Macaca fascicularis: one gene and its partners. The protein of the gene in region 3 purifies or fractionates together with the protein of the main gene of each other region. This does not show direct contact. Links are inferred from orthologs where the notes say so. Each region holds a gene or a part of one and is shown on either strand. Other genes may lie near its edges.

Region 1 (8,247 bases), on a different chromosome or scaffold from region 3:
GAGTTCAAGAGCAACCTGGCTACCAAGGTGAAACCCCGTCTCTACTAAAAATACAAAAAATTAGCCAGGCGTGGTGACGGGTGCCTGTAATCCCAGCTACTCAGGAGGCTGAGGCAGGAAAATAGCATGAACCTGGGAGGCGGACCTTGCAGTGAGCCGAGATCACGCCACTGCACTCCAGCCTGGGTGACAGAGTGAGACTCCATCTCAAAAAAAAAAAAAAAAAATTAGCCATGTATGGTGGCATGTGTCTGTAGTCCCAGCTACTTGGGAAGCTGAAGCAGGAGAATTGCTTGAACCCAGGAGGCAGAGGTTGCAGTGAGCTGAGATCGCACAACTGCAGTCCAGTCTGGAAGACATCTCAAAAAAAAAAAAAAAAGAAAGAAAGAAAGAAAATGGTAATAGATGTGTGTCACAGACATGTATACAACTGCTCACAAATAATAAAGTGTTAAACAACAAGCAGGCCCAGGACTAAGAAAGAAAACGAGGCTGGGCGCAGTGCCTCACACCTGTAATCCTAGCACTTCACTTTGCGAGGGAGAGGCAAAAGGATAATTGAGCCCAGGAGTTTGAGACCAGCCTGGGCAACATGGCAAAACCCTGTCTCTCCAAAAAAAATAAAATATTAGCAGGGTGTGGTGGCATGCGCCTGTAGTCCTAGCCACTCAGAAGGCTGAGGCGGGAGGCTCCCTAGAGTCAGGGAGGTCAAGGTTGCAATGAGCCATGATTGCACCACTGCACACCAACCTGTGCAACAGAGCAAGACCCTGTCTCAAAAAAAGTAAAGTGAGTTCCTCCGTGCATATCTCTCATTTGGCAGAAATAAATATATAAAGTACATTTTGGTTTCAATTATTTATTTTTAAAAGGAGGCTAGTTCCCAGTAAAACCTGAAAAACACACCAATACTGAAGGGATGAGTACAGGAAGAGCCTTGAAAGAAGCAGTCAACGAAGCAGAAGGAAAATAAAGAGCACATCACAAAAGAAGAAAGAGGGGTTGGGTTATTTATGTTTTGGATGGTAGTATTCTGAAGGCAAACTTTTGACAGGTAAGTCACTGCAAATGATACTGAAGATAAAAGACCAGTTTATCTGGAAAATAACAATATAGCCCTGACATTTATCTATCAGAACTTCACTTTGACAGGTGAACACTTAAGCATATTCTAGGAAATAGACTTTTACCTGGCTTGACTAATGGTCTCCAAGGACCAGGCCTTGAGTCATCACCCCGTCTGGGAAAGCGATCATCATCAGCACGTCTTGAAAGCCGATCATCATCCATGTTTCTCCAAGGGCCCCTGTCATCCTCTGCACCACGCCTGGGAATTCTATCTTCATCGGCATTTCTCCAAGGTCCTCGATCATCATCCAACCCTCGCCTGGGACCCCGGTCATCATCCATGCCTCGCCTGGGACCCCGGTCGTCATCCAGCCCTCGCCTGGGACCCCGGTCGTCATCCAGCCCTCGCCTGGGACCCCGGTCGTCATCCAGCCCTCGCCTGGGACCCCGGTCGTCATCCAGCCCTCGCCTGGGACCCCGGTCGTCGTCAGCATTACGCCAGGATGATCGCTCTTCATCAGCGCCGCCTCGCCTCGGCCCCCGGTCGTCATCCATCCCACGTCTTGGTCCTCTGTCCTCATCTGCTGTTCGCCAGCTTCCTCTGTCCTCATCCAGTCCTCGTCTAGGTGGTCTGTCATCATCTGCGTGACGCCAGCTTCCCCTGTCTTCATCAGCAATTCGTCTGGGAGGCCTGTCATCATCTGTGTTACGCCAAGAAGGCCGGTCATCGTCTGCCCCACGGCGAGAGAACCGATCTTCCTCAGGACCACGTCTAGGGCCTCTGTCATCATCCATGCCACGCCGGGGAACCCGATCATCATCTGGTCTAAGAGAGGACTCTCTATCTTCATCATCCCCCAGACGCCGGGGCCGCTCTTCATCTCTTCTATGAGACCTGTCCTCATCTCGCCCTTCTCCACGTCTCCACTCCCTACACAGCAACAAGAACAATTAAAAATACATAAAATAAAAAAGCACACGATCCTTTGGGGATTTTTTTTTTTTTTTGACGTGCTTTTTTAAAACTTCAGTATGGGCCGGGTGCAGTGGCTCACGCCTTTAATCCCAGGACTTTGGGAGGCAGAGGCAGGCAGATCACCTGAGGTCAGGAGTTCAAGACCAGCCTGGCCAACATGGCAAAACCCCATCTCTACTTAATTGTAAGACAAGTGGCTTGGCGCAGTCGCTCCCACCTGTAATCCCAGCACTTTGGAAGGCCAAGGCGGGAGGATTGCTTGAGCCCGGGAGCATGAGACTAGCCTGGGCAACATGGCAAAACCCCATCCCTATAAAAAAATAAAAACTGACCAGCCGTGGTGGCTCACGCCTATCTATAATCCCAGCACTTTGGGAGGCCAAGGCAGGCAGATTACTTGAGGTCAGGAGTTCAAGACCAGCCTAGCCAACATGGTGAAACCTCGGGTCTACTAAAAATGCAAAAATTAGCCAGGTGTGGTGGTGCATGTCTGTAATCCCAGCTACTTGGGAGGCACAAGAATTGCTTGAACCCAGGAGGCAAAGGCAGTGAGCCAAGATCCCGCTACTGCAGTCCAGCCTGGGTGACAGAGCAAGATTCTGTCTCAAAAACAAAGAAACAAACAAAATTAACCAGGCATGGTGGAGCGCACCTGTGGTCCCAGCTACTCAGGAGGCTGAGGCAGGAGGATCGATCACCTAAGCCCAGGGAGGTTGAGGCTGTAGTGAGCCGAGATTGCGCCAATGCACTCCAGAGTGAGACACCATCTCAAAACAACAACAACAAAAAAAAAAAGAAAGAAACAAGCCAAGTGCAGTGGCTCAAGCCTGTAATCCCAGCAATCTGGGAGGCTAAGACAGGCAGATCACTTGAGGTCGAGGTCAAAGCCAGCTTGGGCAACATGGCAAAACCCCATCTCTACTAAAAAATACAAAAAGTAGCCAGGTATGGTGGCACACACCTGTAATCCCAGCTATTCGAGAGGCTGAGGCACTTGAACACAGGAGGCAGAGGATGCAGGGAGCCGAGATCGTGCCACTGCACCCCAGCCCGGGCAGCAGACCCAAAAAAACAAAAACCAAACCCACACACAATCAGACATGCACACAATTCTTCATGGCTCTCCTTTCCCTGCCTCTACAAAATGAACCAAATTTTAAAATCACCAATAAAATATTAACAAGAGGCGGGGCACGGTGGCCCATGCCTGTAATCCCAGCACCCTGGGAGGCCGAGGCAGGCGGATCACAAGGTCAGGAGATCGAGGCCATCCTTGCTAACATGATGAAACCCCGTCTCTACTAAAAATACAAAAAATTAGCTGGGCGTGGTGGCAGGCACCTACAGTCCCAGCTATTCAGGAGGCTGAGGCGGGAGAATGGTGAACCCGGGAGGCACAGCTTGCAGTGAGCCGAGACTGTACCACTGCACTCCAGCCTGGGCAACAGAGCGAGACTCCGTTTCAAAAAGAAAAGAAAAGAAAAAAGATATTAACAGGAACTGAGGAACTGGAGCAGCATTATTTTCCTCAACTCTACTTACTTCTCTGGCGGGCCTCTTCTCCACTCAGAATCTGCTTCAGGTCCTTTTCTCCAGGTGCCTTCTGAATCTCTATCTCCCCAACGAGAGTCCTCCATTGACAAAGTGAAAAAGAGGCATTATATTGGTAACTATTTACTATTACAACTACTGGTATTACCATTCAAATATTTTTTGTACTTATAACAATATGAAGCCCTTAAATAAGCAAGTTTTAAAATTTTATTTATTTTTTAATCTGAGATCAGACTGATGCTACAGGGAAACTAGTAGTCTCATATATTGTGGGTGACCTTACAAACACCGCTGGAAAGCAACCTGGGAACACACACCTCTACAGATTTCCTTCAACTAGAAATCCCCTTTGAAGAATGTGAAAAAAGCCCCGTACCCTGAAATGGACATCACAGTGCCTACTAAGCAAAGAAAGGTGGAGACATTTTATTTAATGTCTAATGACGGTGGTTAAATTAAAAGTACTTCTCTATTCAAAGTACTCTGATGGGTCAGATGCAGGGGCTCACACCTGTAATCCCAGCACTTTGGGAGGCCGAGGCAGGTGGATCACGAGGTAAGGAGATCAAGACCATCCTGGCTAACACGGTGAAACCCTATCTCTACTAAAAATACAAAACATCAGCCGGGCATGGGCCAGGCGCAGTGGCTCACGCCTGTAATCCCAGCACTTTGGGAGGCCAAGGCGGGCGGATCGCAAGGTCAGGAGATTGAGACCATCCTGGCTAATACGGTGAAACCCCATCTCTACTAAAAAAATATAAAAAATGAGCCGGGCGTGGTGGCAGGCGCCTGTAGCCCCAGCTACTCGGGACGCTGAGGCAGGAGAATGGCATGAACCCGAGAGGGGGAGCTTGCAGTGAGCCAAGATCGCGCCACTGCACTCCAGCCTGGGCAACAGAGACTCCATCTCAAAAAAAAAACACAAAACAAACGAACAACAACAACAAAAAAGTACCCTGATGACATTAAGAACTGTGAAAAGTAAATCTGGTACAGCCTTTGCAGGGGACGATGCATGCACAATTTTAATCATAAATATCCTCTGATATATTGTGGCTGGTCATACAAATGTAACCTAAAGCCATTATCAGACAAGTGAGAACTCTGGAAGATATTTTAAGAGATCTGATGATAGGGTGGGAAGACTAAAATAAATATTTAAAAGCTGGCCAGGAGCGGTAGCTCACGCCTATAATCCCAGCACTTTAGGAGGCTGGGGTGCGTGGATCATTTGAGGCCAGGAGTTCGAGACCAGCCTGGCCAACATGGTGAAACCCTATCTCTACTAGAAATATAAAATAATTAGCTGGGCATGGTGGCGGGCGCCTGTAATCCCAGCTACTTGGGAAGCGAGGCAGGAAAACTGCTTGAACCCGGGAGGCAAAACTTGCAGTTACCCAACATCGCACCACTGTACTCCAGCCTGCACCAGAGCGTGAAGCTCTGTCTCAAAAAAAAAAAAAAAAAAACACTACAAAGCTAAGAATAAGCTACAGCCTCTAACAATTTGTGAATAAAAGAACCTTTATTTGATTTTTTTTTTTTTTTTTGAGATGGAATCTCACTCCGTTGCCCAGGTTTGGAGTGCAGTGGCATGATCTCAGCTAACTGCAGCCTCTGCCTCCCACGTTCAAGCGATTCTTGAGCCATAGCCTGCCAGGTAGCTAGGACTACAAGCGCCTGCCACCATGCCCAGCTAATTTTTGTGTTTTTAGTAGAGGTGGAATTTCAACATGTTGGCCATGCTGGTCTCGAACTCCTGACCTCAACTCATCCACCTGCCTGGGCTTCCCAAAGTGCTGAGATTATAGGTGTGAGCCACCACGTCTGCCCCTCTATTTGAATTTTTGAAAAAATGTCTTGGCAATGAAAGTCTAAAATAACAACTAGAGATGAGAAGCAGTGAAAGACAAGAATGGCCAGAAAAAAAGTTAGTCCCAGGTCATCACAGCTAATGATTCTGGGCTGTCTCTCAAGGTGGGGGTTGTTCTAAGAGACTTTCCCAAGTAAACACTTTGAGAGACAAATAGAAACGTAACAGTCAAAGGAATTTATGGGCACCATAATCGAGGGAACAAACACAGCCAGAAGGCCAAGTTTCTCCCACCCCCGATGCCTGCCTTGCCAATTTATACTCAACAAAGAAAGCAAGATTTTAGAGGTATAGTACAACTATTACAACCGCCAAAGACTTTTGAAGGATGGCTGTTATAGCCATTAAACAAGCAAAAAGAAATAACTCTGCCTCCTGGGCTCAAGCCATACTTCCACCTCAGTCTCCCAAGCAGTTGGGCATGCACCACCATGGCCAGCTCATTTTTGTATTTTTTGTGGAGACAGGGTCTCACTATGTTGCCAGACTGGTCTCGAACTCCCAAGCTCAAGTGATCCGCCCACCTGCCTTGGTCTCCCAAAGTGCTGAGATTATAGGCGTGAACCAATGTGCCCGGCCCAGCAGATCCAAGAGCAGAATGGTCCCAGCTGATGAGCAAACAAATTGAACCAGGATCTCAGAGAACCTGGTACAAACAACAGATGAAGAGAGTAAAAGAAACATTAAAGATATAAAGAGGACTTTGAAAGAGCAAGAACAGAGAAAAAGGAGAAAAGTTTCCTTAAATTAGGAGATTTTTGTCTGCTCTAAGGAAACTGAATCCTTAGACCAAAAGGCCAAAAGACCAAAAAGAAACAAAGATGACCAAACACTCAGGTGTCTAAACACAGTTTAGCGACAGTTTTAACTTCCTTTACTGCAAGTACGGAGAAAAATTACGTTCCCAAGGAATGAAAGAGTATCTACAGAATAAGACGAAAACTAGTATCAAAAATCTTCCCCACTGTAACACTGTGTACTACAAAGAGAAGCAAAGATCTCTATTATTTCTGAAAAGATGATTTTGAACTGGCCAAATAATGAACCATCCATTGTTCAACCGTGAGAGAAAAAACTTGAGGCATACGCAAAGACATTCTGAAAACAACTGATTAAGAATCAAAAAGTACTCACAAAGGGAAAACATGATGCAGTGTAAACATACCTGAGACTAAATAATGTTTGCTAATATGGATATAAAATTTTAAGTGAATACTAAGAGGAAAGATAATATGTAATGATCTAGAAACAAAAATACCCAGTTCACTGCAATAAAATATAAGTCAAGGTATGCTCATGATTTTGTCTTGTTCTGAAAGGCAAAGGAAAGTTGTATTTTATACTTTGGAAGTTTTTTTAAAAACTTAGGAAAAAATTAATGGTGGCTGGGCAGAGTGGCTCACGCCTGTAATCGCAGCACTTTGGGAGGTTGAGGTGGGTGGATCACCTGAGGTCAGGAATTTGAGACCACCCTGGCCAACATGGTGAAATTCATCTCTACTAAAAATACAAACATTAGCCAGGCATGGTGGCACGCGCCTGTAATCCCAGCTACTCGGGAGGCTGAGGCAGGAGAATTGCTTGAAACTGGGAGGCGGAGGTTGCAGTGAGTCGAGATTGCGCCACTGCACTCCAGCCTGGGCAACAGAGAGAGACTCTGTCCCAAAAAAAAAAAAAAAACCTAGAAAAGTTCTTCAAGTTTGGCTTAAAGAAAAAGGAAGGGGTGCCAGGGACATAGAAGCAAATAAAAAGCTCCAAAGCAAGTGTTAGGAACAAAACCAAATACACTAGTTACCATGTTAAATGCAAGTAAATTAAACTATACTCTCCCAAAAATAGGGAAGGTGTGTGTGGGGGGCAGAGGGGGCATAAAACAGAAACAAGAGGCTGAAAATGTACAAAAGGGTGGACAAACACATTTGCAAATGCTAACTAAAAGGATAATCTCAGAAGGTAAGCTTCCTCACATTCCTAAGGAGACATTTCCATAAACTAACAAGATGCAGCAGATTTAAACAACGAAACAGTTGATTTCATGCATACACAGAACTTTGTGCCCAACAGAAAAAAACATTCATAAAAACCTGACCATGGTTTTAGAACACAAAGGAAAATGTATTATTAAATTCCAAAAACTTGTAAATCATACAGACCACATTTACTGAATACCAAGGAATTAAAATTACAAATTAGCAGTAAGAATAACCTAAACTGAAGACACATAAATAACTAGTATCAAGTCTAGGCATACAGATAAGCATTTGATACAGGTGTGGCAAAAACAGAGGAGCAGATCGAGACATCCTTGAGCTTTTTGAGTGAAAGGTAAGCAAGCAATACTTTAAGGGGCAAACAGGGCACCTCCCAAGCAAAAGGAAGAGCATGCAGACAGATGCCACAGACACAGAATAAAGCAGAAAACTTGCTCTCCAATGGTTGGAGCACAGGTGACTAAGAAGAAAATAGTGTCAGACGAAACTGATGAAAACGGCAGCAACACGAAAGACTGCTAAGGCGCGTTTTAAAACCTTTGGCTCTCAGTAATAAGTATCAGCCAATGAAAGGTCTGAAACCCAACAGCAGGCACAGTGATCACACATGCTGTATTATGAAAAATCAAGCAGGCCACAACGTAGAGGAAGGTCTGAAGCTGGAGGAAGATGATGATGAGGGAGACTAGTAAGTAGACCAACAAGTACTGCAGGTAAGAAAAATCTGAATTAAGGCAATAATGTAGGAAAAGAAAAAAGGAAGAGTAGGTTCAAAGCTGTGA
Region 2 (6,940 bases), on a different chromosome or scaffold from region 3:
CAAAGACCCCTGTGTGGGGCAGCTGAGCAGCCTGGAGCCTCAGGGAGAGCAGGTCGAGGTGGACAGCTGGTGAAAGAATGATGCTCGAGTTGCTGCAACTGAAGCTCTGGCCCAGGGGTGCTTGGAGATCTCGAAGGGATGCATTCTGAGCCGAGAATGTCCACTCTGGAGGAGTGAGGAAGGGTTAGATCCTGTCCACCTCCCTGGCCCCAGCTTAGTCCTTTCAGGAACCCTGGTGTCTAGTGGTAGCAATGAGAAAGGGAGGGAGGTTACTTACGTGCTGCGTGGGGGAAAGACACATTGTACTCCACCGCCATGTAGCTCAGGTAGACAACCCTCTGCTGGAGGTCCTGTGGGGCAAACAGGAAAGCAGGTGGCATCCCTCTTCACAGAGGAAGGGGTAGGGTGCAGGATTGGGAGGGGTGGGGCGCCGGGAGGCTGAGTGAGGGGTGAGACTGAGGTCATGGCTATACCTGCATGAATCCAAAGCTGAGGTGTCCATAGGGGAATGAGAGAAGCAGGTGGGGATGGGCACCCTCACAGCTCCCCTGGACCTTGGTTTTGTTGGGGTTCAGTACAGAGATGCCCCAGGCCTGCGGAAGTTAAAGATCAGAAGGTCACAAGATTGCATGCGATGCCAGCCAATATTCCCCGTCCTGTCTTCCTTCTTCCCTCTGAGCCTATAGCCAGTCCTGCCTCCCTCCCCTCTCGTACCCATTTTTAGCTTTACCTCTCCTCCACCCTGGGTTGTGTACATGACTCGAATCTGAATCTGGGCTTGGAGGTGGACACAGGGCTGGGAACCATTGGTCCACATGTAGTCTCCAATGGTCTCCTTGGAGGCCGGGCTAGGACTCGGAGAGGGCGGAGGTGGTCCTGGGTGGGCAGAACTGGTGAGTCCTGGGCTGGTGGCAGTGCTGTTGCTTGTTGGATGAACTGTGGCATTTCCATGACTAGTGGTGGCAGGCCTGTGAGTGGCAGTTGAGGGTCCCTGGCTGGTGGCAGTGCTGTTGCTTGTTGGATGAACCGTGGCGTTTCTGTGGCTGGTGGTGGTGGGGTTGTGCGTGGCAGTTGTGGGTCTGTGGCTGGTGGTGCCTGTGGTGGTTGTCCTGTGAGTGGTGGTTTTGTGGCTCTTGGTAGTCCTGTGGCTGGTTGTTCCAGTGCTCTCCGTAGCCGTGGGTGTCACCGTGAAGGATGGCAGCAGAGTGGCCGATTTTTTGTGAGGACAGTCATTCCCTGTCCCCTGGGCTTTTGGCAGAGAGGAGATGGTTAGCCACCCAGGGGCAGGCTCCCTCCCAGGGGCCCCTTCCCCTCAGCCTCCTCCTTACCTGCGAGTAGCCCCAGCAGGGCCCCCAAGAAAAGCACAGCCAGCCTCATGGCTGAACTACCTCACCCCGAGTCCAGCGAGGCTGTCTGCACCAGTTGCTCAGCTCTACTCCCTCAGCCCTCTCTTGGAAAGGAGGAAATGAAAGTCTCACTTCCTGTACTGGAGATGATCCCACCCACAGCCTGACTCAGGGGCCTCAGCTCTAGCCATCTCTCTCTTAGTCATTAGTTTTTGTAATTAAGGTAGGGCACTGTTGGCCCCTGCTTCATCAGGGCAAAGTCAACAGGGTCACATGGGTACATGAAAGGGAGTCCTAGGGCAGTTGATCCATAGGGATCCATGTGTGAAACTCAGCAAAACTTGCTTGGCAGTTGTGGCAGGTGGCTATGGGAACAGCTGAGACCCAGGCCCCTCCCTCAGTGGTAGGGAAATCAGTGTCTCCACTCCCCTTTCCCCTGGACCTCGGGGCTGACCCCTGTACTTCCTCTTGGCTGAGGCACGTGAGGGGCTTGTGATCATCCACACCCAGCCTTTTACAGAGGGGCAGCACTACCAGTCAGCATCACCGTTCTCAGAGCCGAGAACATGGCTTTCCAGTGTCTGGGAACTCTTAGATGGTGACAAGAAAGCAACACAGCCCAAAGGTAACTATCTGCTGGCGAAGGGGGGAGCAGAGATGCACCCAGTAGCAGGTGGGAGAGGGAAGGGGAGTTAAGAAATGAGAAGCCCAAACAGGCAGTTTCCAAGTCATTTTATTCAGAATTTTGTGTTTGTTTCCTGAATCAATAAATACTATACAAAACAATGTAAAAATGGCTACCATTTTCTCTCCCCTGCTTCCCCCCACCTGGGGACAACCCCCTGGGCAACCTCACTCAGGGGTTTTAGGGGTTCTCCCTCCAGATTTGGTCCAGCAAATGAGGCTGAGTGACGTAGTCCCCTGAATCACTTTCAAAGGAGCTCAGCTGAGGTGAGGAGAGCCTCTGGGATCTGGAGGTTACTAGGTTAGGGAAATGGATTAGTGTTTTTTTGGGAGAAGAGCCGGCGCCTGGGGCAAGAGCCTACCCCAAAGAAAAGGGTGTCTAAAATGTTCACGGTTCCTTCTTTTTTTGCCTCAAAAAGTGACATTTATTCAAAGAAAAAAAATGACAAGATGTCCATCCCTTGGCTCCCTTCCCTCCCCCCTCCTGCTGCTCCTCAGCCCCCCAAGATTGAGCCCTGGCTGGGGCTGGGTGGCAGGACAACCCCTCAGATGAGGTCGGCAACATTGAGGGGCATTTCCTCAATGGAGGTGTTATAGAAGGTCTCGATGTCTCGAAGAGTCCTCTTGTCTTCTTCTGTCACCATGTTAATAGCCACACCTTTACGGCCAAACCGTCCACCTCGACCGATTCTGGAAAACAAGGAAAGGGATGAGGAACATCAGGAACTTTAGCCCAGGGAGGGCCAGGCGTGAGGGGGTGGAAGAGTGTTCCAGATCTACTCTTACCTGTGGATATAGTTTTCCCTGTTGGTGGGAAGGTCATAGTTGATGACTAAAGAAACCTGCTGCACATCAATGCCTCTGGCCTACATCAAGAAAGACAACTCTTCAGCATGTGCATGAGAGAACACTATCCCGAAGAGACACTTAGGCATCCATGTAGGCAGCCAAGGAAGGCGGAGGAAATAAGCATCCCTGTTCCCCAAAGGCCTTAGGCATGCCAGATTCTATTCCAAGCTGCTACTTTCCTGAGAGGGGCACTGGATGTCCCCTTGGAGAGGGAATCACCTTGGATCAGGAATCACCTTGGATCCTCCCTTCTGCCTTTCCTGTCAATTCCCTCTACTCACCAGCAGGTCAGTGGTAATCAAAACTCTGCTAGAGCCAGAACGAAACTCCCTCATGATCACGTCTCGTTCCTTTTGGTCCATATCTCCATGCTAGAAGAGAAAACAAACCAGGTAGGCACATAGGTTCCGGGAACCCTGGCTTCAAAGTAGGACACTTCTGATCGGCAGACCCACAAGGGGCTGGCAGCAGGCAAACACACCATGGCAGAGACAGTGAAATCTCGAGCATGCATCTTCTCGGTGAGCCAGTCCACCTTCCTCCGGGTGTTGATGAAGATGACTGCCTGGGTGATGGTCAGCGTTTCATACAAGTCACATAGTGTGTCCAGCTTCCACTCCTGCAGGTGAGGGGACAAAAATCAGTCAGGGGCTATACCCAACAACTCACTACCAGGCCCGCCTCCTGCACTGGGCCCCACCTCTCGTTCCACGTTGATGTAGAATTGGCGGATACCCTCCAGGGTCAACTCTTCCTTCTTGACAAGAATCCGAATGGGGTCCCTCATGAACTTCTTGGTCACCTCAAGCACATCAGAAGGCATTGTAGCTGACAGCAAAACTACCTAGTGGAAAAAAAGGCCAGCCTTAGAGCAGTGGATCCTTCCCAAGGTCTGCTCCCTTCCCTAGCCACACCTAAAACTGAAGTGGATGCATAAAAAGGCTCAGGACAAGAATCCAGAGTTTGGTTCCCCTGGCACTTAATATTTTTCTTCCAGAATCATTAACGATTCAAGCAAGGCCGCCCTCACCTGGGTGTTGCTGTTGAGCTTTTGGAATATGTCATAGATCTGGTCCTTGAATCCACGGCTTAACATTTCGTCAGCTTCGTCCAGTACAAACATCTTGATGTATTTGGGAGCTAGAGAAGGAAAAAAAAGCCAATATATAGCATATAATCAGGGAAATGTAGGAGAGATGTATCCAACTTTGTTGATAAAAAACAGAGAGGGGCCGAGTAGTCTGCTCTCAGAGTACAAAGACTGATCCTTTGCCCAGGACGTTCCCGCCAAGCCAGAAAACAGCCCTGGGAAGTAGGACACTGCCTGGGCTGCACTGGCAGGGAAGCCAGAGGCTCAGATGACACGCATGGGCTCCATCACAGAGCAGCTCTTCCCCAGAGGGAAACCAGCATCTGTGGGAATGACTTTGGCTTACACTGAAAGACTGGAAAGCATGCACAAGAGCGAAGTGACCCAGGGGTTGGAGAACAGAATTACTCACACAGGTATCTCCGGTTAAGCATATCAAACACTCGGCCAGGGGTCCCCACGATTATGTGGGGGGCTTCCATCTGCAGTTTCTGCACCTCAGCACGCACGTTGGTGCCCCCAATACAGGCATGACAGGAGGCACCCATGTAGTCTCCTAGTGCCATGACCACCTTCTGTATCTGAGCACAGAGAAAGATAGGTGCTCACATATTAGCTACAGCTGTGCCAGGCACCATTCCTTTTTTTTTTTTTTTTTTTTTTTTTTGAGGCGGAGTCTTCACTCTGTCGCCCAGGCTGGAGTGCAGTGGCACCATCTCGGCTCACTGCAAGCTCCGCCTCCCAGGTTCGCGCCATTCTCCTGCCTCAGCCTCCCGAGTAGCTGGGACTACAGGCGCCCGCCACCACGCCCGGCTAATTTTTTGTATTTTAGTAGAGACGGGGTTTCACCGTGTTAGCCAGGATGGTCTCGATCTCCTGACCTCGTGATCCGTCCGCCTCGGCCTCCCAAAGTGCAGGGATTACAGGCGTGAGCCACCGCGCCCGGCCGGCACCATTCTTAAATGTTTTTCATGTATTTATTCCTAACCAACAACTTTGGGGCATGCACTATTATTACACTCACATTCAGCTGAGAAACAGGCAGAGGCTAAAATCCACTTAAGATCGTGCTGTCAATAGGTGGCAAAGACAGGATTTCAACTCAGTCTGGTTCCTGAGTGTACAGTGATTCACAGTAAGGCCGCTCAGATAATTAATTCAGTTTCTTACTCTAGATGTTTAGAACCCGTAACTTTCTGAAAGCTAATTTGACCAACTGCCTCGTCATGCAGCAACCAGTTTTGTTTTGTTTTTTTTGAAACAGAGCTTTGCTCATCGCCCAGGCTGGAGTGCAATGGCACAATCTCGGCTCACTGCAGCCTCCGCCTCCTGGGTTAAATTCTCCTGCCTGAGCCTCCCCCAAGTAGCTGGGATAACAGGCACATGCCACTACGCCCAACTAGTTTTTATATTTCTAGTAGAGATGGGGTTTCACTATGTTGGCCAGGCTGGTCTCCAACTCCTGATCTCAAGTGGTCTGCCTGCCTCAGCCTCCCAAAGTGTTGGGATTACACAAGTGAGCCACCGCGCCCGGCCAGCAACCAGTTTTATAGAACAGGTGATGCATATCCATGTCCTATTGTACTCCTACCAGAGGACCAAAAGCTACGAGCCATGTTCACTCTGAGAAAACTGAGAGCCAAGTGCCTTAGAATGGAGCTCTGCTGTAACTTCTTACATTATCCACACCCAGAATAATCATTGCACCTGCCACAGAACATTTAAAAAACATGCTGAGCCTCAATACTCTAGTTGAGATGAGTGTCGCAGCATGACCCAGAAAAAGTCCAGCATTAGAATTGTGTGTGCCCCCGGCATGAAACAGCTCTAGGCATTAAGCCAAGGTGAAAAAAGGACTGTCCGGCTGGGCGTGGTGGCTCACACCTGTAATCCCAGCACTTTGGGAGGCTGAGGCGGGTGGATCATGAGGTTGGGAGACCGAGACCATCCTGGCTAACATGGTGAAACCCCATCTCTACTAAAAGATACAAAAAAATTAGCTGGGCGTGGTGGCAGACGCCTGTAGTCCCAGCTACTTGGGAGGCTGAGGGCAGGAGAATGGAGTAAACCCGGGAGGCGGAGCTTGCAGTAAGCTGAGATAGCGCCACTACACTCCAGCCTGAGTGACACAGACTCTTGTCTCCCAAAAAAAAAACAAACAAAAAAAAACCAAACATAAAAAACCAAACAACAAAACTGTCCACTGTCCATCTGCTCTGACTACCATAATAGCACCCCCACCACTGAGGTGTCTCTTAGCCCATGGTGATGGTGCTTATTCAGAACACAGCCACCAAACTTGCCCAGCCAGCCAGGCTTCACCCAAGAGCCTTCCCATTTGACTCAGGAAATGGGTGGAGGAAGTGATGGTTACATTTGGGTAAGAAATAGCTTCTAATTAACCCAGCAGGTCTCGAGAGCGTTAGGGCACCCATCTCTCTTCCTCCCAAGGTGGTGATCAGAGAACACTTCTCTGGTCCTTGGATTATGCCCATCATCCCTAAATCAGCCTTTAAGGAGGGAACAGAAACCACTCTTACCTGCTGAGCCAATTCTCGAGTGGGTGCCAGGACCAAGGCCTGGGTGGCTTTTAGATCTAATTCGATCTGCTGCAGAATTGATATGGCAAATGTGGCCGTTTTCCCAGTCCCAGATTGGGCTTGAGCGATCACATCATAACCTAAACAAACAAATTAGGAGTTAAATGTGGTAAAGAGTATACACTTTGGGATATTCAAGTTGTAGGTGAATGAGACCAATAAGTAACCAATGAACCAAGCATTTCATGGCTCACAAACTACCTCACCAGTCAACACAGTTACACAATGAGAACCAGATAGAAACAAGGACCAGTCATTAACTCGTCTAGTGTTGCACACCAAGCTGGACTAGAACTATGGCTGCAGAGACAAGTGTAAGCTGGCTACAATACCACCTCTTTAAAGGAAACGTATGTGTCCAAGGCATGAAC
Region 3 (8,763 bases):
CAGCCTGGGCGACAGAGTGAGACTCCGTCTCAAAAAAAAAAACAAAAAAAAAAGATCCAAGCATGGTGGTGGGCGCCTGTAATTCCAGCTAGTTGAGAGGCTGAGGCAGGAGAATTGCTTGAACTCAGGAGATGGAGGCTGCAGTGAGCCAAGATTGCACCACCGCACTCCAGCCTGGGCAACAGAGTGAGATTCCATCTCTAAAAATAATAGTAATTTCTTTTTTTTTTTTTTTTTTTTTTTTTTTTTTTTTTTGAGACGGAGTCTTGCTCTGCCGCCCAGGCTGGAGTGCAGTGGCCGGATCTCAGCTCACTGCAAGCTCCGCCTCCCGGGTTCCCGCCATTCTCCTGCCTCAGCCTCCCGAGTAGCTGGGACTACAGGCACCCGCCACCTCGCCCGGCTAGTTTTTTGTATTTTTTAGTAGAGACGGGGTTTCACCGTGTTAGCCAGGATGGTCTCGATCTCCTGACCTCGTGATCCGCCCGTCTCGGCCTCCCAAAGTGCTGGGATTACAGGCTTGAGCCACCGCGCCCGGCCAAAATAATAGTAATTTCAACATACTAAATATGCAGATGTCAGAAAATATTCTTCGCTTTATTTATTCTCAAAAGTTGGCCGGGCATGGTGGCTCACTCCAGCCTGGGTGACAGAGCAAGACTCCGTCTCAAAAAAAAAAACACAAAAAAAAAACCTTTCAGAAATATTGAAAATTTACCAGGCATGGTGGCTCACGCCTCTAATCCCAGCACTTTGGGAAGCTGAGGAAGGCAAATCACTTGAGGCCAGGAGTTCGAGACCAGCCTGGCCAACATGGTGAAACCCCGTCCCTACTAAAAATACAAAAATTAGCCAGGAGTGGTGATGGGTGCCTATAATCCTAGCTGTTCAGGAGGTTGACGCAGGAAAATCGCTTGAACTGGGGAGGCAGAGGCTGCGGTGAGCCACTGTACCCCAGCCAGGGCAACAGAGTGAGACTCCATCTCAAAAAAAAAAAAAAAAGGAAATATTGAAAATACTACCCTAAAAAATAATCTCCATTTTATTTTCAAAGATGCTAAAATTGAGAGGAACGAGATGTTAAAAAAAAAAAAAAAAAAAAAAAAAAAAAAGGGAAAAAGGCAGTTGCCAGTCACTGCAGTGCCGGACACCCTGCTGTGGAAACTAGTCAAATCCCAGGATACCTTCTAAAGCACTTACCATACAATTAAATGGCCTGACAAGCCTGATCTGAATTTATAAGGCTTGCAATAAAAAGCTTAGCTTTTACACAAACTGCGTACTCCTTCCCACAAGCTCAAAGCGTCTAGTCTAGGAGAACCAGCCCACACCTAGGAAGGAAACAAATGAAGTAACTACACCATGAAGACACATCGCCTTCATCACTCTCGGCCCAAGCATCGGTGACACGTGGCTCACAGATTCCCAACCTGTCTCCAGGAAAAAAAAGAAGAGAACAATCCTCAACACTAAATAGCAAACAAAAAGAATAGTTAATAATGCAAAAAAGACATTTAGAGTTAAAATCCTGATCAGCTGAAACATTAAACTGAAAGGATGATTACAGTTTGAGATGCTAATCTGCACCCAAAAAATAAGAAGGCAAGACAGGGACTCCAGGCCACCTTTGGTCTGCTCCTTGGAAGACTCGGCCCTTTTGGAAAGAACTGATACACTCATATACTATCTGGAAGACTCGGCCCTTTTGGAAAGAACTGATACACTATACTATCTGGAAGACTCGGCCCTTTTGGAAAGAACTGATACACTCATATACTATCTGGAAGACTCGGCCCTTTTGGAAAGAACTGACACACTCATATACTATCTTGCACACTGACCCTGAAGGGCAGCTCTTGTCATAACGCACACAACCCACCTGCGTTACCACAACCAGGCAGGCCAGGACAAAGCCTGCTTGCTGAGCCTTAGTCCTCAGGACCAGATGCCTCACCTGTCACTCTGGCCAACACTGCACCTTCAGGGCCACGTGGGACCCCTGAGGACCCACAGTCATCACCCAGCCTGGCCAACCTTGTGGTCATATTAGCATCCACTAACTCTTCCCAATTCCAGAAATAATTTACACATTAGAAATCTGAATTCGATGGGCTCAAATAATACTTTTAAAAAAATAGCAGAATTTCCAAGGGCTCAAAATAATCATTAAACCAAAAATTTTGATTTTAAACTATAACAACTACTGAAGTGTTAGAAAGAACACTGTTCTGCCGGGCGCGGTGGCTCACGCCTGTAATCCCAGCACTTTGGGAGGACGAGGTGGGCCGATCACAAAGTCAGGAGATCGAGACCACGGTGAAACCCCGTCTCTACTAAAAACACAAAAAATTAGCCGGGCGCGGTGGCGGGTGCCTGTAGTCCCAGCTACTGGGGAGGCTGAGGCAGGAGAATGGCGTGAACCCAGGAGGCGGAGCTTGCAGTGAGCCGAGATCGCGCCACTGCACTCCAGCCTAGGAGACAGGGTGAGACTCCTGGGAGACAGGGCGAGACTCCGTCTCAAAAAAAAAAAAAGAAAGAACACTGTTCTGAGCAGGAGAGTCTGGTGAGCCACGCAGAGCGAACCCACTGCGAATTCTCAGCAGCCTACTCCACCTTCAGGGACACATTTCCTCAGGACTGAGGGGCGCAGACTAGATGTTCCCAAAGTCTTCATTAGTTTGTGGTGTTCTTCCTGCTTTTCTTGCTAAAATGTCTTCTATGAAAAAAAAAAGTGTAATATAATAATGGCCACAGTAACTGACAGCCTTTTTATTTTTTAATTTTTCACTTTTTGAGACAGGGTCTCACTCTGTCACCCAGGCTGGAGTGCAGCAGTGGGATCTTGGCTCACTGCAACCTCCACTCCTGGGTTCAGGCTATTCTCGTGCCTCAGCCTCCCAAGTACCGGAGACTACAGGTGTGCACCACCACACCTGGCTGATTTTTGTATTTCTGATAGCCTTTTAAAAATACGTTTCAATTATAAGTTGGCAACTCCACGTTATTCCCTAAATTGTCTTGGTGTATATCTGGCTGCGTCAGCAAGGGTATTTTTATTTTTCTCACTCCAGTATTAACTTAGCCAATCCGCAGAGGCTGATGTGTTTCTCAACTTAAAGGCTTAAGAGAGCTAAAAACAAAAGAAAAACAAATGAGACCAGCTCTCATCAGAAGTCACTTTAGGAAAAGAGCTCTCTGAGGCGGAAGCAGAAATATGCCTGTAAATCCAATCAAGGTTGAGACGAAGGCAAAGCAGGCTGTTATCAACAATATTAAAACCTGGAAAAATAACTCGTCTTACAGGTTTAGCAGAGGGGATAAAGGAGAACCAAACTGGAATTTGACAGGGTCTGCCTGTACCACTAGGGAAGTCTCCTGGAGATGGACAATTGTGCGGGGCAGGAGGACAAAATCACCGGCTCTGCGACAACCTGTTCCTCCGATCCAGACCTCGGGAGGTCTGACTGGTCAGCTGGGACACGCAGACCCGCAAACCTGACACCGGGTCTTCGGTTTTTGCTGTAACCCCAGCTGCTACACTCACAGCACACCCAGCCAGAACAGAGTACCCCTGTGCCCTCTCCCACCCTCTCAGATTTCTGGTTGTCATGCAAATCCCTGGCTCACGAAGTTAGCTCCATCCTGTCCCCTTTTTTAGGAAAGAAAAGGGGAGGCGCTGGGGTCTCAGAACGTTTCTAGGGCACTCGGGAACCCCTCCCTCGGTGGCTTTCCAGGAACACACGGACACCCTCGCTGGAACTTCTGCACGAACCAGTGGCACAGCCCGACGACATCTCCCACCTCCGGAACCCCAGTCACGCTCCCGCGCCGCTCGCCAGCCCTGCCCCGGGCGCCCTCACCTTCCTCGCTCACGTCGTCCACGAAGTCCTCGGGGTCGCTGAAGGAGGGCTCGTCCGCGTCGCCGTTCTCCAGCGCCCGGGGCTCGGCCTCGGCCGCGCTGCCCTCGTTTCCTCCCGCGTCCTCGGACGCCGCCTGGGCCCGGCTGTCGGCGCACTCGTCCCGAGCCCGCTCTCCCGGGGCCTCGCCCTGTGCCGGGACAGGGGGCTCAGCGTGCGACCCAGGAGGTTCCTCGGCTGCCGGAGGCGAGAGCGACTCGGACGGGCCGGAGGCCGCCTCTGCCTCGGCGGCCGGCTCGGTCCTCACCTCCGGCTCCGGCCCGGCCTCCGCGACCGCCACCTCCTCACTAGAGGCCTCTGTCCCTGCCGCCTCCGGAGCGCCGGGCCCCGCGGGCCGCAGCAGCCCCTCGTCTGGCGGCGGCTCGGCGGCCGGTTGCTGCTGGCCGGGCTCGGCACGCTCTTCGGCCGCCTCGGGCACCGCCACGTTCTCTGCGTCCTGCATGGGCCCGACACTACCTACTCGCAGGGCTCCGCGGCCGCCGCGCTTCCGACTCTCCCAGGCCGCACCGCGCGCCGCGCCGGCTACAGCTCAGCCATGTGCGTGCGACGGGGAGGCCGTACCAAGGCCGCGGGGCGGGGGGTGTACCCACGCCCTGGAGCCTCACGACGACCCTGAGAGGACTCGCATCCGCAAGCCGCGTCCAGCAAATCACCAAACTGACATTCTTGTGACAAGAAAGTGCTCAATTCCATTCAACAAGGTTGTTTCCGTCCATCACTAAATTCATGGGCGCATTGGCCACCCCATGTATGGCAGCGGATGGTTCTGTCCAACATGGCGGCCTCCCCTTTCCTCTCCCGTCGGACGCTGCGAGGCGGGGCTGAACTATTTGTGGCGCCCGAGGCGGGGACCAGAAATGATTTTAGTATCCAGAATGGGTTGAAAATGTCCTCTAACTCAACAGTTATTATCATGGAAGAGTGGAGGCTCGACAGGCGATTGCTCAGGGCGTCTCAGCCTTTCGCTAGGCAAACTGTTTAGCTTACGTTACTAAAGACCCCCCTGTCGGTGTCTGACACTTGGACTCGCCTACTGACTGCGCAAAAGGACAGACTACTCCAAAAAGGAGAACAGGGATTCGGGGCGAGCCAGAGGCGGCCCGCACGACTAGAAAGACGACTCCCTGGCGCAATGCAAAAATGTATGCGAGTTGCTTTAATCGCTTACCCCCAGTCCTTCCCTAGCGGCCGTCACCGCCTGTTTCCCCCCATTCGGGCGTTCACAGTGTTTCGGTCCACGCGAGGCCACCGCCCTCCGCGCGGGAGACCGCGGGTCACGTGCGGGCGGGGGCGGGTTCTCGCCGCGTGGGGCGCGAGCCTCTCCGGAGCGGTTGGCTCTGGGCTGCTGTTCACGGGACGGGTATTGGGTGCTTGTGTCTTCTCTTTGTTTTTTGCCGGAGTGGAGGACAACCACTAGAAAATAACCCAGTGGATCACGCCAGTTATCCCAAAACTTTGGGAGGCTGAGGCGGGGGGGATCGCTTGAGCTAAGGATTTCGAGACCAGCCTTGCCAACATAGCACCCCCACCCCCGCCAACCCTCATGTATACCAAAAATAAATAAATAAGTAAATAAATAAGTAAAACAAGTGGTACCCAGAGGCTGGGGAGGAGAGTGGGGAGTGTTTATCGGGAACGGACCTTCAGTTTGGGAGGATGAGAACGTTTTGGAGATGACGGTGGTGATGGTTGCACAACATGGTGAATGTACCTGATGCCACTGAGCTGTATACTAAACTTCATATTAAAATGGCCACACCCCGCGCGGTGGCTCACACCTGTCTTCCCAGTACTTTGGGAGGCCAAGGCAGGAGGATCGCTTGAGCCTAGGAGTTCAAGACCAGTCAGGGCAACATAGTGAGACCCTGTCTCGAAAAAATAAAATACTAAAAAGGTAACTTGTATGTATATTTCATCATATAGTTGTTTGTTTTCAGAGACAGGATCTCACTCTATCGCCCAGGTTAGAGTGCAGTGGCATAATCACAGCTCCACTGCAATCCGGATCTCCCAGCCTCAAGAGAATCCTCCCACCTCAGCCTCCCAAAGAGCCAGGATTACAAGTGTGAACCACGCCACAGGGCCTAGCCATTTTAATATGCAGTTTAGTATACAGTTCAGAGGCATTAAGTACATTCCCAAGTACTTGGGACTGAAGGTATGTGCCACCACGTCCAGTTAATTTCTTTATTTGTGGGTAACATCTCACTATGTTGCCCAGGCTGGTCTCAAACTCCTGGCCTCAAGCAGTCCTCCTGCCTCAGCTTCCCAAAGTGCTGGGACTACAGGCATGAACCACACACCCATCTCGTCCTAACGGTGTTCAAAAGAGCGAAAAAGAAGCAGTCTTCCCATGCCTAGTACCAGGTTTGACGACTCCTCATCGTGCTGTCAGCGGTGTAACTTTGGGCAGGTCACTTAATGCCTCTGCCTCAGTTTCCGCATCTGTACAATAAGGGATGACAATTTTTTTTTTTTTTGAGATGGAGTCTTGCTCTGTCGCCCAGGCTGGAGTGCAGTAGCGTGATCTCAGCTCACTGCAAGCTCCGCCTCCCGGGTTTATGCCATTCTCCTGCCTCAGTCTCCTGAGTTGCTGGGACTACAGGCGCCTGCCGCCACCCCCAGCTAATTTTTTGTATTTGTAGTAGAGACGGAGTTTCCCATGTTAGCCAGGATGGTCTTGATCTTCTGACCTTGTGATCCGCCCGCCTCGGCCTCCCAAAGTGCTGGGATTACAGGCTTGAGCCACCGCGCCTGGCCAGCAAATTTTTTGCTTTTTTTTTTTTTTTTTGAGAAGGAGTCTGGCTCTGTCACCCAGGCTGGAGTGCAGTGGCCGGATCTCAGCTCACTGCAAGCTCCGCCTCCCAGGTTCACGCCATTCTCCTGCCTCAGCCTCCCGAGTAGCTGGGACTACAGGCGCCCGCCACCTCACCTGGCTAGTTTTTTGTATTTTTTTAGTAGAGACGGAGTTTCACCGTGTTAGCCAGGATGGTCTCGATCTCCTGACCTCGTGGTCCACCCATCTTGGCCTCCCAAAGTGCTGGGATTACAGGCTTGAGCCACCGCGCCCGGCTAGCAAATTTTTTAAACAGAGATGGAGTCTCACTATGGTTCCTGGATTGGTCTTGAACTCCTGGGCTCAAGTGACCCTCCCACTTCAGCCTCCCAAAGTGCTGGGATTTCAGGCGTGAGCCACCACACCCAGCCAGGTGGCCAGATGACACATTTTAGTGTGTGGCTGGTGGAACAGTTCCACAAAGGAAAACTTGGTTTCACCTCCCGACCAAATTATCCTTCCAATTTCTAGTTTCCTCTGCAGCTTCCCTTAGATCATCAGGCTCTGCCAACCCTTTTCTTCTAGAAAATGCTGAAAGGTAGCAAGTCAATGAACAAAAAGCAAATACTAACCAAAGAGCTTGAAAGCAGATGATTTTGGCTTGGCAACAGATGATTTTGGCTTGGCAACTGCATGTTTCTTAGACAAGGAAAACTCTTCTATGGCAGGCATGCATTGCACAAAGGAGGCACTCTTCACTTTGCTGGGGAATGGACTTCCTTAGCCTTTTTTTTTTCTTTTTTGAGATGGAGTTTCGCTCTTAGTGCCCAGGTCCACTGCATCCTCCGCCACCTGGCTTCAAGCGATTCTCCTGCCTCAGCCTACCGAGTAGCTGGGATTACAGGCGCCCACCACCATGCCCGGCTAATTTTTGTATTTTTAGTAGAGATGGGGTTTCACCATGTTGGTCAGGCTGGTCTCGAACTCCTGACCTCGGGTGATCCACCCACTGCAGCCTCCCAAAGTGCTGAGATTACAGGCATGAGCCACCGCGCCCAGCCTTCCTTAGCCTTTTCTACAGGTAAAATTATGCACATACTCATGGTGCAGAAAATATATCTAAGAAGTACTGCCATTGATACTCAAAAGCATGTGAGTGCCTACTTTGTGGTAGGTACTCTGTTGGGGGTACAGTGGTGAGTAGACAATGTATGTTTACATAGTTTACATGAGCCCGTCTGTGACGGGTTCATAAATCCTTTGGCACTCCTGCTTTTAAAAGGCGAAGGCAGGCGGGGTGCGGTGGTTCACACCTGTAATCCCAGCACTTTGGGAGGCCGACATGGGTGGATCACGAGGTCAGGAGATCGAGACCATCCTGGCTAACACGGTGAAACCCCGTCTCTACTAAAAATGCAAAAAATTAGCTGGGCGTGGCGGCGGGCGCCTGTAGTCCCAGCTACTTGGGAGGCTGAGGCAGGAGAATCACTTGAACCTGGGAGGCGGAGCTTGCAGTGAGCCGAGATCGCGCCACTGCACTCCAGCCTGGGCGACAGAGCAAGACTCGGTCTCAAAAAAAAAAAACGAAGGCAAATTCTGCTCCCCTTAAGTGTGGGTGAACTTAAGGCATGGTGCAGTGGATCATACCTGTAATCCCCACACTTTGGGACGCCACACTGGGAGGACCGCTTGAGCCCAGGAGATTAAGACCAGCCTGCGCAACATAGTGAGACCCAGTCACTACAAAAATAAAAGTTAGTCCCGGTGTGGTGGCTCCCACCTGTAATCCCAGCATTTTGGGAGGCCAAGGCAGGCAGATCACTTGAGGTGAGGAGTTCAAGACCAGCCTGGCCAACAAGGCGAAGCCTCGTCTCTACTAAAAATACAGAAATCTGGCTGGGAGCAATACGCCTGTAATCCCAGCACTTTGGGAGGCTGAGGCGGGCAGATCACGAGATCAAGAGATTGAGACCATCCTGGCCAACGTGGTAAAACCCTGTCTCTATTAAAAATATAAAAATTAGCTAGGCATGGTGGTGGGCACCTGTAGTCCCAGCTGCTCGGGAGGCTGAG

What was found. Proteins that work in one complex are often made in the same cells at the same time.
Region 1: the proteins of EIF3B (region 3) and EIF3A purify together in Homo sapiens (co-immunoprecipitation; 15 studies listed by BioGRID and IntAct, with this or other methods). This does not show direct contact. The link is inferred for Macaca fascicularis from reciprocal best matches to the Homo sapiens genes EIF3B and EIF3A.
Region 2: the proteins of EIF3B (region 3) and EIF4A1 purify together in Homo sapiens (affinity purification with mass spectrometry; 4 studies listed by BioGRID and IntAct, counting the BioPlex papers as one, with this or other methods). This does not show direct contact. The link is inferred for Macaca fascicularis from reciprocal best matches to the Homo sapiens genes EIF3B and EIF4A1.

What each region holds. Positions count from the first base shown.
Region 1 is NC_088383.1:128,047,980-128,056,226, forward strand, and holds part of EIF3A (eukaryotic translation initiation factor 3 subunit A), read right to left. Parts: intron 3,676-8,247; coding exon 3,587-3,675; intron 2,000-3,586; coding exon 1,191-1,999; intron 1-1,190. UniProt on the Homo sapiens protein: RNA-binding component of the eukaryotic translation initiation factor 3 (eIF-3) complex, which is required for several steps in the initiation of protein synthesis.
Region 2 is NC_088390.1:7,623,729-7,630,668, reverse strand, and holds the end of EIF4A1 (eukaryotic initiation factor 4A-I), read right to left. Parts: exon of another isoform or gene 6,920-6,940; intron 6,650-6,919; coding exon 6,510-6,649; intron 4,551-6,509; coding exon 4,382-4,550; intron 4,266-4,381; exon of another isoform or gene 4,123-4,265; intron 4,020-4,122; coding exon 3,910-4,019; intron 3,724-3,909; coding exon 3,580-3,723; intron 3,499-3,579; coding exon 3,361-3,498; intron 3,251-3,360; coding exon 3,161-3,250; intron 3,106-3,160; exon of another isoform or gene 2,966-3,105; intron 2,897-2,965; coding exon 2,817-2,896; intron 2,721-2,816; coding exon 2,576-2,720; 3' UTR 2,062-2,575; downstream 1-2,061. Other genes in the region: CD68 (macrosialin), read right to left, coding at 1-165, 278-350, 474-593, 731-1,248, 1,329-1,377. UniProt on the Homo sapiens protein: ATP-dependent RNA helicase which is a subunit of the eIF4F complex involved in cap recognition and is required for mRNA binding to ribosome.
Region 3 is NC_088377.1:35,836,654-35,845,416, reverse strand, and holds the start of EIF3B (eukaryotic translation initiation factor 3 subunit B), read right to left. Parts: upstream 4,425-8,763; 5' UTR 4,357-4,424; coding exon 3,858-4,356; intron 1-3,857.